Ovis aries: one gene and its partner. The protein of the gene in region 1 interacts with the protein of each later gene in a biochemical or structural test. Links are inferred from orthologs where the notes say so. Each region holds a gene or a part of one and is shown in the gene's direction. Other genes may lie near its edges.

Region 1 (7,261 bases):
TGCTACGGAGATTCAACAGCAGCCTCTCTCCCCTGGCCCTTCCTTTGTACAGCTCTGCAAAGAGGGATCAGGATGGTGGGCAACAGCACTGTGGGCGCTCCCATCTGCCTGTGCTTGTTAAGCTGAGTCCTCAAGGCCAGAGGGTTAGAGGGTTGATGCTTCTCTGGGGGTAAAGATGGAGGAGAGAATGGAGAATAAGAGGCAAGAAAAAGGAGGTTCTCCATGAGCTACTTTTGAATTAGAATGATATCTCTTTTCATCTCTGAGTGTCCAGGTGGTCACTTATTCAAAAAATCCTTGAGCATTTATTTATGTTATCAGCTGCTGTTAAGAGTTGCCACAGGCACGGCCAAGATCCCCACCCTCCTGTGGCATCAAGGTAGTACCCTCAGCTGTGGCTATGCTTTGAGATGTCTCCCTGACCTCTAGCTGAGAGGTACAGTGATTTGAGAAACCCCAACCATCAGAAAGTACTAGATTCTGTTCCTAGAATTTCAGAGTTGCAGGCTGACCCATGAACAGTTGCCTGTGGTTTTTTGGATTTCACTGGGATTGAGGTTGGAACCATAGCTGGTCAGGGTTTTGGTTCCACCTCTAACGTTTCTCCTTCCCTGTTCTTTCTGTACTAGAAAGGCACTGGTGGTGGGTCATAATTTGCTTAAGTGATAAAGAGCTTCCTAGGTGGCTCTATTGGTAAAGAATCTCCCTGTCACTGCAGGAGACGTAAGAGATGCATGTTTGATCCCTGGGGCAGGAAGATCCTCTGGAGAAGGAAATGGCAACCCACTCCAGTATTCTTGCCTGGAGAATTCCATGGACAGAGGAGACTGGTGGGCTATATACAGTCCATGGGGTTGCAAAGAGTCGGACACGACTGAGCAACTAAGGCTTGGCTTGGAAAGAGCAGACCAATACTACACATGGTTTCTAAGGCTTATTTAACCTATTAGCAAGAGAAATAAACTAGCTATGAGATATCTCTTGAGTTTGCCAGTTGTTAAAACACAGTGATATAGGTGGTCAAGGGAAGCTTGGCATTTCTCAGAGGTTTATTATCAGTAATATGGTAAAAAAAAGAAAAGAAAGAAAGTAAGAAATTGCAGTTCAGACTATTCGTTTGGCCTTTGTGTAATGTCTGTGGTGAAAGGTTTAAATTAGCTTTATGAAGAAAATGTTTTCTTCAGGACAAACATATAAAAAGGTAACAGGAGAAATGCCAAGTATTTGAGAAAGCAGAGTTTAAATGATTATTTACAAATGGTTTATATAGTCATAATGAAGGTACCCTTTGCCTAGGCTGAAATATTAGTATTTCGACAGCACTGACAGCACTTCTTTAAGAAGCACCTGAATCCTCCTCCCTGCTAATCCAGCCTGACCATATGTGTCTGTGCTTTCCTCTCTTCCTGTGCCTGTGTGCTTTAGCCTGCATCAGTGAGATTTATTCAGTCCACTGGGCTGTGGTAGTTGGTGATAGTTTTAAAGAGGCCAGAACAGAGCAGATGCCGTCTAATTCTACAAATGCAAAGGAAAGGGAGAATGACACAGCGATGCTGAGTGGGCACGATTCGCTGCTTTCTGGTTCAAGAGGCCAGTGCCACTTGCGATTCCTTCTTTGTACTTATTTGGGCTCAGAAATCCTATTCAAATCAATAAAAACCAACTGAGTAATGGCTGTGTCAAGTTTGTGCTATGAGCTCTAATTGTCATTCTGTATCAAAGTCTATCTGAGTTAGTCCTAAAATGCAAAGTTCTAGTTTTATATTATTGGGAGAAAACCCTTTGCTGTTAGACTTTCAGTGTAATGGAGCTGTGACACCTGTCTACCCCCTACTCTCTTTCAGGTAAAACTGGAGTGTACATGACTGATATAAAACCTCAAGGTGTGGCTATGAAAGCTGGAGTGCTGGTTGATGACCACTTGATTGAAGTGAATGGAGAGAATGTAGAGGATGCCAGCCACGAGGAGGTGGTTGAAAAGGTATATCCCAAAGGAGCACTTTCTCGCCTTTAACGTTCACTCTGCTCTCACTGGAAGTGACAGGAAGACAGGAATGGTAGTTTATGATGGGAAGACTGTGATATGGGAAGCTAAACCTTCGTATTAAGAGCCAACGGACTCATTAGTGGTGTAAGCAGTGTTAACATAGGGCTTTGGAATGAGGCCTTTGCTAGTTTCATGTTGTCTTGAAGAAAAGTGTTCTAAAGAACCATTATCTTCTGGATCTTATGTGTAAGTTACTGGAATCACTCTCTAAACTTGTAGTAAATTCGATCTTGAATCAATGTTACTAAAGTGTTTTAATACAAGCTGGAAGATGACTAGTGTGGGTGATGAATATCGAGTTATACATGGGGAGTATCTGATGTGCTATACCCCAAGTCTTATGCCCCAGCAGGATGCACGGAAAACACTCAGAGGTTTTTCTTTGGGGTCATATGGAACCTTGAAAATTGACCAACTGTATCTTTTCTTGGTAGAATGGTATTTCAAAGTAGACCTTTACTTTCTTTTCCAAATTCCTTTCCTAGTCTTCACCTAAGTACCTTTCTGGGTTTTCTGAATTCTGGCTTTCACTTGGGTTCAGTTAGCATCTGTGTGGGTGACGTCATACTTAACAAAGGGAAAAACAACTATATAAGGGAAGATAAATAAATACCAGTGAGGTGGTACAAAACAGTATTACAGCTTAATTAAGCTCAGGACTTACATCCCATATATCCTGTTTAATCTATAGACTGTGTGCCTCAACACAGAAACTTTCCTATTTCCCAGCATCTTTCTTGGAGACTGATGTTGGTCCTCACCTGACTGTTGTTGCAGGTGAAGAAGTCTGGAAGCCGCATCACATTCCTGCTTGTGGACAAGGAAACTGACAAGCACCATAGCGAGCAGAAGATAAAAGTCAAGAGAGAAACAGCCAGTCTGAAACTGCTACCCTGCCAGCCCCGTGTTGTAGAGATGAAGAAGGGAAGCAATGGCTATGGTTTCTACCTGAGGGAAAGCCCAGAACAGAAAGGTAAGGCACTTGAAGAGCAGAAAACTTGGCAGTGTAACCACCCAATTCTTCATCCCAGTCTGACTCCCCAGAGTTCCATTAGGCCCCCCAGCCCCCCATCAGGGTATCCTTAGGTTTTCATAGCAGAATTATAAAGCAGAATTTTGGATCTGAGCAGTAGCATGCCAGTAAATTGGCTCTCTGGGGGGTTAAAAAAAAGCCCTAATTTGTAGTATGTGTTGTTTCGTTGTGGTGTAAATACTCCCACCATGTCTGATTTCAAGCTACAACAGCTGTCATAGAACGCGAAGTTGAGAAGTATTCTCATGAGCTGGTGTGTGACAGCGCCAACATCCCACTAGATCTGAGGCAGGGGTGTGGGTGGGGATCTGGGACATGAATAGAACCAGGAGTCTTTCTGATTCCCTGTAATTCAGTAAGAATTAAGGTCCTCCTACACAAGCTGAATACATTACGAAAAAAAAAAATGTAGGTTCAGGCCATGAAAACTTATTCACCCAGAATTACCATTTTCTTTCCATCATATATATTTACATTAATTTATGAAACATTAATTTGACTCATATGGTATAAAAACATCCTCAGGATCTTTGAGAATATCAAATGAATGTGATAAGAATTCTTCAGTCAAGAAGACCCCTATTTACTAGAGGAGATAAGACATATATGTCCATAACTGAAGGTAGATGGTAAGAAACATCTTAAAACAGGGCAGGTAAGATACTATGGAAATTCAATGCTGGAGCGAGTTTTTCCTCACGAAAAAGGTATTGGGAGGCCTCAAAGTAAAGGTAGCACTTGAGCTCTGGCTTTATAGTATGAATAGAATTTAGGCAAGTTGATGGGGTAGGGACAGATAAGTCCAATCCATGAAGACAGGATTGCGTGAATAAAGCAGGAAGACACAGGCTCAGTTTGATTGCTATTTAAAGTGTAGCACAGAAAATCAAGTTAGAAAGGTCAGTCGGAGAGACATATGATGGACTGTTAGTGCATGCTGAGGAGTTTAGACTTATTTTCAGAGTTAGTGGGGAGTTATTTTTTGAACAGTGTGAGAGAGAAGAAAAATTAAACCTACATTGTCTTGCGGGCTTTACACATCTCAATTACTCCTAATAATTTTGTAAGAATTGCTGAAACTGGGGACTTGAAGAAGATACAACAATTTTTATATGGTCAAATAGTTCTAGTACAGCTAGAATCAAAATTAGGTCTGTTTAGTTCCAAAGCTCACATTCACGCTGTCATGCTGGGGAGTGACTCGCTCAGACGGTGCATCAAGATGAATCTGAAGGCAGGTCTGTACTGGAGAAGGCAAACAAGGAGGGGAGAGCAGCTGGTAAGGTAGCAGGTTAGGAAGAATTCAAGGCAGGAATGAATACAAACTGCATTTCAGGTGGAGGAACTAGGGCTCCAGAAGAGATGTGTAAAAATATTAAGGTAGCACTGAAGGACTTGGCTGATTAGACACAGGGAGTGGATGCTGAGGAAGAATCATGCTACCTGTCAGTGACAGGAGGATGGTGCTCCCACTAACGGGTGACCAAGAGATGCCAAGCAACTAGCTGGAAAAGTGAAATTGGAGCTTGTTAAAACTGTATGAGGGTCAAAAAAAAATTAAGGGTGAGAGATCTGAAGGTTTCTGGTGAAGATGGTTCAATTCCTGAAGACTCAACACCCATCTGTGTGGCACGCACTCACAGATCCATTCACAACTGAATTTGCCCAACTGCTACTAAAAGGCTAGCTTGGGTTTCCTGGGGTCTGAATTCTTTGGTTTTGTTCACCATTCTTCCCATCCTCTCCTCCCCTTTTTTTATGGCTTAGCTTCTACATAAGCATACAAGTATGCACACTGATTTCCTGGGACTTTGCTGACCCTTACTGCTTAGCATGCTGTTTTGCCAAGATTGAATCCCAAACACTTTTAGTAATAACATTCTTTTCTTTAAGACTCTCATTATTAATGACTGGGTTTATTCCTAGAATGAGTTCTGACCAAAGAGCGAGGTGGATAGGATGTGTATAGATATCCTAGTGGGAAGGAGTTGTACTCAGCATGCCTTTTATATCTATTTTATAAAGGCTTTAGGCCCCAGCAGAAATCCCCCAGTTTGTTTTCTATGGATCTTTCTGGTAATTCTATTTAAATTTTTTTTGGGGGGTGGGTAGGTCAAATCATCAAGGACATAGATTCCAAAAGTCCAGCAGAAAAGGCTGGCTTGAAGAACAATGACCTGGTGGTTGCTGTCAATGGCAAGTCTGTGGAGTCCCTTGATCATGACACTGTGGTGGAAATGATTAGAAAGGGTGGAGATCAGACCTCTCTGCTGGTGGTAGACAAAGAGACAGACAACATATATAAACTGGTAAGTAATACAAGGTCACATATTCATGAATTAAGGTTGGGTCCATTCACTCACACCCTCAAACTTTGGTTAAGTTACCACTTTGATCTTCATACTGGAAGAGGCATAACAATCATCATTAAGGCTGTACTGAAGCTCAAATTGGTAGATAAGAGAATGTGATGGGTTCATGAGGTTTAAGTCCTTGGAAATAAGATTTTTGAAAGAATTTGCAAATGTAACTGCAGAATTTCTCTTGGTGACCTAGGAAAAATCTATGAACAATAGCCTGGAAATAAACAGATGTAGTCCTAACTTTCCCAAATAGGGAATGACTGGATTTTAATCTGTAGACCAATGTGTTCTACCAATCCCATGTAAAAGCCTAAAGAAAGTGAAAGTGAAGTTGGTCAGTAGTGTCCCGACTCTGCGACACCATGGACTGTAGCCCACCAGTCTCCTCCATCCATGGGATTTTCCAGGCAAGAGTACTGGAGTGGGGTGCCATTTCCTTCTCCAGGGGATCTTCCTGACCCAGGGATTGAACCTGGGTCTACTGCATTATAGGCAGATGCTTTCCCATCTGAGCCAGAAGGGAAGTCCACAGGGACTAGTTTATAAACCCTTAGCAAGGGAGTAGAAACATAGATTCACCAAGACCAAGCTGTGTCAAACTAACCTTATTTCCTTTTATCTCTTAGTCACAATAGCTATTGTCTACATATTTTAAAGTTTTTTTTAAATAACACTTTGATCACAAGAACTGAGGTTCACTCTAGCTTAGCAGACATTCAGGGGCCTTCTAAAGTATCATCTGCCTTGTTGGGTGTTGGTCACAAAAATGAACCAAGATGAACTTGTTCTATGTGATATACAATAGAAGCATCCAAAGGCATATAAATGATATAGAGGGAGGAATATTATGGGTGGTAGAATTAGCCTCCTTCAGATTAAAAAATCCTGAAGCTTAGAGAGACTAAGTGATTGGCTAAACTCACTCATTTTAGCAAAGACTGAAGTCAGTATTTGAAAGCAAGTTTTAATTATGCCATACTCTCTCCCAGCACATTTTGAATAGATATTTCAAGACCTTTGTGTAAAGAAGACTAACGAGTGAACTGGATGATAGAAAAATTAATGGGTTTTTAGCTAGTTGAACAACCATACCTAAGAGTACTTGATACTGGACCAAATGTCAACCCGAACAGACTCTAACAGCATGCTGTTTGTTCCTAAGCTAGCATATTATTAAATGTGGATGGAGACATGGAAAACATATTTAATATACTTAAATCATACAGATGACTTAACGTGTTGATGGATAATTACTAGAGACTAGTATTTAAAATATCAAGATAGAAGAATAGTCAAGATAGAAGAATAAAAACTAGTAAGTTTAAAGTTTAATCAGGAATATATTTCAAGTACTAAACTAACTTAAAAGTAAATTGTATAAACACCAAATGGTGAGGTCTGAACTGATGACTATAGAAAAAAGTACAGAAAACTTGATGACACTCTAAGTAGCTGCCCCTACCCAAAAACCTCAATTTAAAGTTACATTAATTGACACTTGGCTTTTGAAGATGATAGTATTACTGTTCTGAGTTGATCAGACTGTACCTGAAATTACCAGTAATGTAATTTTGGGTAAATAACCCTCCCTGTGCCTGTTTCTTTCATTGTAAGGTAGGTGTATCTATGGCAAAGGGTAGTTCTTAAGTGTTATATGAGTAAATCAACAATGAGCCCAGTCCTGGCAACCTCACTTTAGGCCAGTGTCAAGAAAGGTAACCAGGGAATAGGTTTTGTAAGACATTATGTGAATATTTAGTTTGAATAACCATAGGTTTGGGGGAAGAAAGGAAAACATTGTCAAGAATTTAAAAGGCT
Region 2 (7,261 bases), on another chromosome or scaffold:
GGGAAGCATCATTTCATATCCAAGGCTCCTCCCCTAACACATACAGACACACTCACACATGCAGGAGGAGGTGCAGGGTTGAGATCAGCAGCCGTGTGAACTTAAGCCCGTCTGCTCCCCTCCACGGCCTCAGCCCCTCACCTGTAACGTGGGGACTGGACCACGTGTGTCCAGTTCAGGGCTCTCAATCCCGGCACCTCCCGGTGATAGTCACGCCTCTGCAGAGTGGAGGTGGGGAGGGCACGTGACTTAGACTCAGAAAGACCTGGGCTGGCTGGACTTCCAGCTCGGTCACTTCCTGGCAGGTGGTCTGGCCTCTCTGAGCCTCAGTGTCCTCCTTGGGGGCTGGGCTGGGTAAGGGGTGGGACGCACCGGTCCAAGGCCCCCAGAGTCACACTCCCCAGGGGGCAGCTGAGGATGTAAGAGCGACCCAGAGTGGCTCGAGGGCAGATGCTGCGGCGGCCTCGGGTTTGGGGCCCTGGGGGCAGCCTGCCCTGCCTCCCAGCGCCGCAACCCCCCTTCCCGCCCCGCAGCATACCAGATCACCCACCGGCTCAATGCCACTTCGGCCAACGCCGCCGCTGTGGAGGTGCTCGCGCCCAGCGCCCGCCAGTTCACGGCCAGCGGCCTCAAGCCGGAGTCTGTCTACCTGTTCCGCATCACGGCCCAGACCCGCAAGGGGTGGGGAGAGGCTGCCGAGGCCTTGGTGGTGACCACCGAGAAGAGAGGTAACCATCCCCTGGGGCTGGGGAGGGATCAGGCACTCACCCCCTTTCCTGGTGCCCCGCCAGGGGTGGGCCAGTGACAAGCTGTGAGTCTCTTGTCCTGGTCCCGAATGAAGAATGGGCTCCCCTCTCTGTCCCCAAGGCCGGCACGGGCTCCAGTAGACTTCCGGAGCTGGGCGGGGCGGTCCCCTTCCCAGGACCCTGCTCTGAGCCGGTACTGGTTTTCCAAAGGGCGGGTTGGTGAGGCCAACTTCCCTCCTCACTCCCTGCCCCCTTGACAGAGGGGTCCAGTTGGGTACAAAACGGGGCCGCAGCCCGGAGCCCCGGCTGCCTTTGCCCTGTGGCCTTGACCCGGCTTCCCACCCCGGATCGGGTTCCCCAGCAGCAGGCCTGATCCCCAGACCCCTGTGAACCTGACTTATCGGACAGTGTTCCCAGAAAAAAAAAACCCAGGACAGTGGTTCTCAACCAGGGTGACTTGGGCCACTGGGCAAAGTCTGGAGGCCTTTGGGTTGTCACACCTGGAGAGGAAGGCGTCCTGGCATCTAGTGGGTGTGGGCACACAGCCCACGGTGTGCAGGACGGGCCCCGTCAATAGAGACCCATTCACCCAAAGCCAAAGTGCAGAAAACCCCCGCCACAGGGCGTGGGGACACGAGAGGGGACCACGCACGGGGGGCAGACAGGCCGAGTCCCGTGGAGGGAACGTGGGCTCAGCCCCACTCCATCAGGACCAGCCTAGGTCCCATCACAGCCCCGTGCAGACACGGGTCGAAGGAGCCGATGTCCACACCTCTCACTGTCAGCCCTGGGGGGCGAGTGGGGTGAATTCCCAGACACCCAGGCCTCTCCTAGTCCGGGGACCACCGCTGACCAGGAGCCCCAGTGCTAACTGCTGGGTCCGCTATGCGTGGAAATGGGCTGGGGAGGTGGGCGAGAACGTGCCTCTCTTATCCCCCTGCCGCTTGCTCACCGGCTTGCCCCCTGCTCCGCGCACCCCCCTAGACCGCCCGCAGCCCCCCAGCAAGCCGGTGGTGCAGCAGGAGGACGTGAAGGCACGCAGCGTGTTGCTGTCCTGGGAGCCGGGCAGCGACGGGCTGTCCCCCGTGCGCTACTACACCATCCAGACTCGTGAGCTGCCCAGCGGCCGGTGGGCGCTGCACTCAGCCTCCGTGAGCCACAACGCCTCCACCTTCCTCGTGGACCGGTGAGGCCCCGCGGTCTGGCCACCAGCCTCTCCACCCTGCCCCGCCCAGCCGGGGCCGCACCACCCTGAAAGGGACTCCTGGGGGCCCGGAGCCCAGCCCCACATGGTTTCCATAGCCCCCATCCCCCAGACCCCTCCCCATCCACACACATCCCCTCCAGCTGTGTCTGAACCTCCCTCCCCACCCTCCCTGGAGCCTTGTTAGGGCTGCCTCTTAATTATCTATTTCTGGAGTCTAGAAGCCCCTCCTTCGAGAGAGGCTGGCCACTCTTCATTAGCTGGATCCCGCCAGCCAGCCGGCATCTCCTTCTCCATCTTTAATAGGGGAGTGGAGCTCCGCTCCGAAATCCTGCCTTCAATTTAATTCCTACTAGGATGTATTTTTAATATTCCAGTTGACGTGACCGAGAGTTTTGAGCAATACTCTTCTCCTCCCCACCCCCCACCACACCCCCAATAAATCAAAAAGGAAGCCATTTGCCTGGAGAGGAAATGAGCCTCCTGGAGATGAAGTGCTGGTTAACTCTTGAGACCCTCAGCCCCTCCTGAATTTACTAAGTGCAAGAGCGGGCTGGCAGTTCTTAGGGGCAGGATCAGCTCCCAGTGGGGTTACTCCGCCTGCAGGCCCCTCCGAAGTAGGAAATATGTGGACGTTTCCACTTGGGGACCTCTGGCGTCTAGCTGGGACCAAGGGTGAGGCCACGCCCCGAGCTGGCCCGGTCTAGGGGCCCCAGGGCCTGGCCTAAGCCCCAGGTTGTTGCCTTCATAGCAGACCGCCCTTCTGAGCCTCCATGTTCCTGTCTGTGTAATGGACCCTCGCCCTCTGGGGCTGCCCTGGGGGGACCTAGAGGGACACCTCCCCCATTCATTTATTCCGACTCCTCTACAGGCTCAAGCCCTTCACATCCTACAAGTTCCGCGTGAAGGCAACCAATGACATCGGAGACAGCGAGTTCAGCGAGGAGTCAGAGCCCCTGACCACCCTGCAAGCCGGTCAGCACCCTCTGCTTGGGTCTCTCTCTCGGTCCCCTGGGCAGTTGCTGGGTGCTGGGCATTCTCTTTGTGGCGAGGAGGCCTCCAAAGATGGAAGGACCCTAGGCCTGCTGGATCCTTGGTCTGGCTCCCTGGGCAGACTCCCAAGGAGGTTTGGGTCCGAGGGACCTTCTCCAGGGCTCAGCACCCTCAGCCAGCCTGGCGTCCTCACATCTCCGAGCTCATGGCCAACCCCAGAAAGCCGCGTCAGCGTGGAGAGACCCGTGGGGGGCAGAGAGGGGAGGCTCCAGGCCCTCGGGTCTGCGCTGGGGTCAGGGTCCCGGCCCCTCTCCCCATCCACATTGGCTATTCTTGCGCAGGAGTTGGGGCGGGCGGTGGGGGTGGGGACTATGCCTGAAACAGGACCAGGGTCAGTGGAACCTGGTCCCCATGGCCTCCCAGGGGCCCCAGAGCTCAGCTGCCCACCTCTCCCCACAGCCCCCGACGAAGCGCCCACCATCGTGTCGGTGACACCCCACACCACCACCTCGGTGCTGATCCGATGGCAGGTACGCCCGGCAGGTGGGGAGGGGCCCATGTCCCACGCAGACTCGGTCACAGTCTGTGCTCGGACCAGCAATTCACCAGCCCCGGCAGGACTGGAACACGGTGCCCACGTGCATAGACACGCACGCTCACATGTATACGGACACACCCTTCACTCCTCTCCCCGTAATCAGATCCCGCCACATACCCTTGTGTGGATGAGGACCCAGACTCAGGGAGGGGATGAGAAAGTCCCAGGTCACGCAGCTGCTGGCTGGCCCTAGGTGCCCTGAGGTCAGCAGAATCCTCGGACAGAGACAGGCGTGGGGCATCCAGGGTCTCCGTGAACCCAGCCCTGCTCTGAGTGAAGGGGTTCCCAACAGAGACCAGACACAGGTGTGTGTGCCTCACCTGTGCCCGGGCCGGGCTCTGACCTGTGAGCAGGAACCCACCGTCCAGGTACAAAGAATCCCCCTTCCATCCCTGCCCACCCCCAGCCACTGCTCATGTGGGCACTGCCTCTCACATGGCCGGAGGAAGACCCAGGACACTTCTCAGAGAGCCGGCTGCCCCTGGGTACCTTCACGACCCTCCCCAACCCCCTGAAGTCCAGCCATGGGGTCCAGTCACCCCCAGAGGCCCCAAAACCAGGAACTAGTGTCTCCTTTTCTCAGGATTAGAGGGGCAGGTGCCAACCTTTGCCCACCTGCCGATCCCCTGAAGGGGAAGCCTTTGAGGAGGAAACAGGAGGGACCCTCCCCAACCCTCCCCCATCCCCAGGCCTGCCCTGAGGAGGACGGTCCCCAAAGAGAAAATGACCTGGAGCAACCAGGAGCCAGTGGAGGCTGGAGCAGGGCGGGGCCGTCCTGATGGAGTGAGCAGCAGGGAGGTGCCAGATGCAGCCAGGGACGCAATTAAGGAGCTCATAAAAAGCTGAACTGTTGCGGCAGGTTTTTTAGAAGAGGTGTCATAAAAGGCAGTTTCCACCTTCTCCAGAAGCCTGTTCTCCAGCTCATCTGAGGACGGGAGCAGAAAGCAAAGGAGAAAACGATAAAGACACAGAGGCGCAGCTCAGGGAGACACGCTCGCCCTGGGTCTCGCTGTACAGCAGGGCGGGGCCTCTACGTAGTTCCCTGACTCCTGGGAAACTCCAAGAGATCTTGGCCAGGGTGGGTGATCATGTGAGGAAGTTTCTAGACAAGGAATGACACTCTAAGACTCGCCCTGCATCCAGAGTCGTGCTCAGGGCCCCCACGATGCTGGGTGACCTTGGGAAGGCTCCTTTCCATCTCTGAGCCTCGTTTTTCTGCTCTGTGCGGTGGGAATGGCGTCGTGATCCCTGCCGTGCCCTGCCTCACAGAGAATGCTACAGGGGTGGAATAACCTCGCCGGAAATGCTCGGAAATTAAAGCTGCTCAGTGCCACTTCAATTCCTTTTCCTGGTCCAGACACAGTCCCTGCTCTAGGCCTGCGGGAGGCGGTGTGCGGAGGGAGGGAGGGAAGGAGGGGCCGCGGTCCAGCCCAGCCGGCTCCATCCTCCTACCCCCTGCCCTGCAGCCGCCGTCGGAGGACAAGATCAACGGAATCCTCCTGGGCTTCCGGATCCGCTACCGAGAGCTGCTCTACGACGGACTGAGGGGCTTCACGCTGCGCGGCATCAACAACCCAGGGGCCAAGTGGGCGGAGCTCACCTGTGAGTGACAGCGGGGGGAGTTGGGGTGGGCGGAGCCTGAACCTCCCAGCTTCCCGGAACCTGGTTACCCTGGAACCCTGCCGCCCTCCCCGTGTGTGCGTCTCAGTTCAGTCACCAAGTGCGTGTTTCCTTAGCACTTCACACGCCCCCGGACACCGGGGGATACCAGGGAGCAAGGCAGACAGGGTCCCTGCGTTCTCAGAGCTAGCGGGCTGGAGGAGGAGCCAGGTGCTGGAGAAGAAAGCCCTGGTAGGGGCGTCTAAGACCGCTGGCCTGACCGCTGTGAAGGGCACATTCCAGGGGAGCCTAAAGCCGGCGGCGTCAGAAAAGACGTCCCAGGGGATGCCCGTGGCGATGGCCCTGATGGATGATTCCAGGTCTTAAAGAAGCGGGGGTGGGGGGGTCCTGGCATGTGCAAAGGGCCTGAGGTGGGAAGGACTCAAAACCAAGCCTGGTCGCGTCCCAAGGGCAGCAGTCTGGCCCCTTCTGGTTCCTCTGGGAGGTTACTGTTCTGCCCTGGGGTCCTCGGAGCCCAGCCGGCCTCTGCAACTGGAAGGAAGACGCGAGAAGCCAAGTAGAAACCGCAGAATCATTCAAGCTAAGGAAGGATGCGCCCTGCTTTCGGTTAGGACAGTTACTTCGGGAACTTGAAGATGACGGCTGGTGATGGGGCAGGGGGCCCAAGTAGAGGCGAATAGGAGACGTAGGGGAGAGCGGGAGGGTGGCCCCGAGGCAACAGGCTTGGGACTGAGTCGAGCCAGACTGGGAGATGGCGTGCTGTGGTCCACCCCCCACTGATTCTTGCTGGGGATGGGCAGGGGTCACAGGAATCAGTCCCTGGATGGGCGGTGGGACCAGATCAGAGACGGGTGGGAGCGGAGGAGCAGCTTAAGATCCTCTTGATCCGTCTTGACGCTTCCTTCCATCCTTCTCTTAAACCCTCTGCTCCTTGTCTTCCAGAGGGTATTAGCAGACAAGATGATTGAACGCGGAGCCAAGGAAAATTAATAGAAAAAAACTCAGAAGTAGCTGATCCAACAGCTTGCATTCTTTTTTTTTTTTTTTAAATCTTTTGGCAGACATGTGCTGGTGGTTGTGATTTTATAGGCCTGTGTATAATACAGTCATATTTCCTAGTAGTAAAATGGCTTCTGGTTCATATGAGGAAATTAACGACACCGCTCCATCACGGCAGGAACTCAGCCTTTAGACAAGGGCCCAGAGGGTCCCTCAGAACCGTCTCCATCTGGGGGTACTGGGCTCCCAGGGACTCCTGGTGCCCTGTGACCTCCGGCGGGTGCACGCCAGGGTGGGGCAGCATCATCCTGGGAGCTGCCTGCCCCCGCCCCGCCCCGCTCCCGCCCCAGCCCCTAACTCAGGAATCTGGAAGGCCCTTCCCTCTGCATGTGTCTTCCCATCCCGCCTCCTCATCAGGGTCTCTGTGGCGCGGTGGGTGTGTGTACTAACCTCCTCTGTCTGCTGTCTCCCTCCGGCCCCCTCCGCACCCCACCCCCTGCCCCGACCACCCCCCTGACCCCACCCCATAGCTTTCTACTCCATGCGGAACCTGAGCCGGCCCAGCCTCACGCAGTACGAGCTGGACAGTAAGTCCCCCTGCACAGCAGCTCCCCGACGGGCCAGGCCTCCCACGGGGAGGGGAGAGGGGCCTCCGAGGACTCCGGCCTGCAGCCCAGGGCTACGCCCACCTCAGGCTGCTTGAGGAAAGGCGCCTTCCTGCACACACGCGACTTTCCTGAAATGCACAGAAAAGCAGGGGGTCTCCCAGGAGGGTCTGTCCCAGCCCTCATCCATCAGGACAGAAGAGAAAGGAAAATGGCTTTGGCCTTATGCTCTGGGGAGCCGGGGATGGTGACGGGGTCCGCGGCAGGACCTGGTGGTCCCGCTGGTTGGATGGGTGGGGGGTCACGCTGCTGCCGCCCGTCTCGTCCATCAGAGGCACTTGTCAGCTTAGCTGTCTTGTCCGCCGAGTTCCACCCTGAAGTGAGCAGAGCCCCTTCTTCCGCCAGGGACCAGGACAGGTCCCTGGCCAGTGCCCTGGAGCCCTGACCTCACTGTTTTCATAATATCCCGGAGGGTGCTTGGTTCTCCCCAAGACCG

Evidence for each region.
Region 2: the proteins of PDZK1 (region 1) and SDK2 interact in a test that uses a peptide from one of them, tested with the Homo sapiens proteins (2 studies listed by IntAct, with this or other methods). The link is inferred for Ovis aries from reciprocal best matches to the Homo sapiens genes PDZK1 and SDK2.

Annotation. Positions count from the first base shown.
Region 1 is NC_056054.1:99,017,798-99,025,058, reverse strand, and holds part of PDZK1 (Na(+)/H(+) exchange regulatory cofactor NHE-RF3), read left to right. Parts: intron 1-1,844; coding exon 1,845-1,981; intron 1,982-2,824; coding exon 2,825-3,020; intron 3,021-5,192; coding exon 5,193-5,389; intron 5,390-7,261. UniProt on the Homo sapiens protein: A scaffold protein that connects plasma membrane proteins and regulatory components, regulating their surface expression in epithelial cells apical domains.
Region 2 is NC_056064.1:57,165,424-57,172,684, forward strand, and holds part of SDK2 (protein sidekick-2), read left to right. Parts: intron 1-533; coding exon 534-728; intron 729-1,730; coding exon 1,731-1,932; intron 1,933-2,821; coding exon 2,822-2,925; intron 2,926-3,402; coding exon 3,403-3,473; intron 3,474-5,007; coding exon 5,008-5,143; intron 5,144-6,690; coding exon 6,691-6,747; intron 6,748-7,261.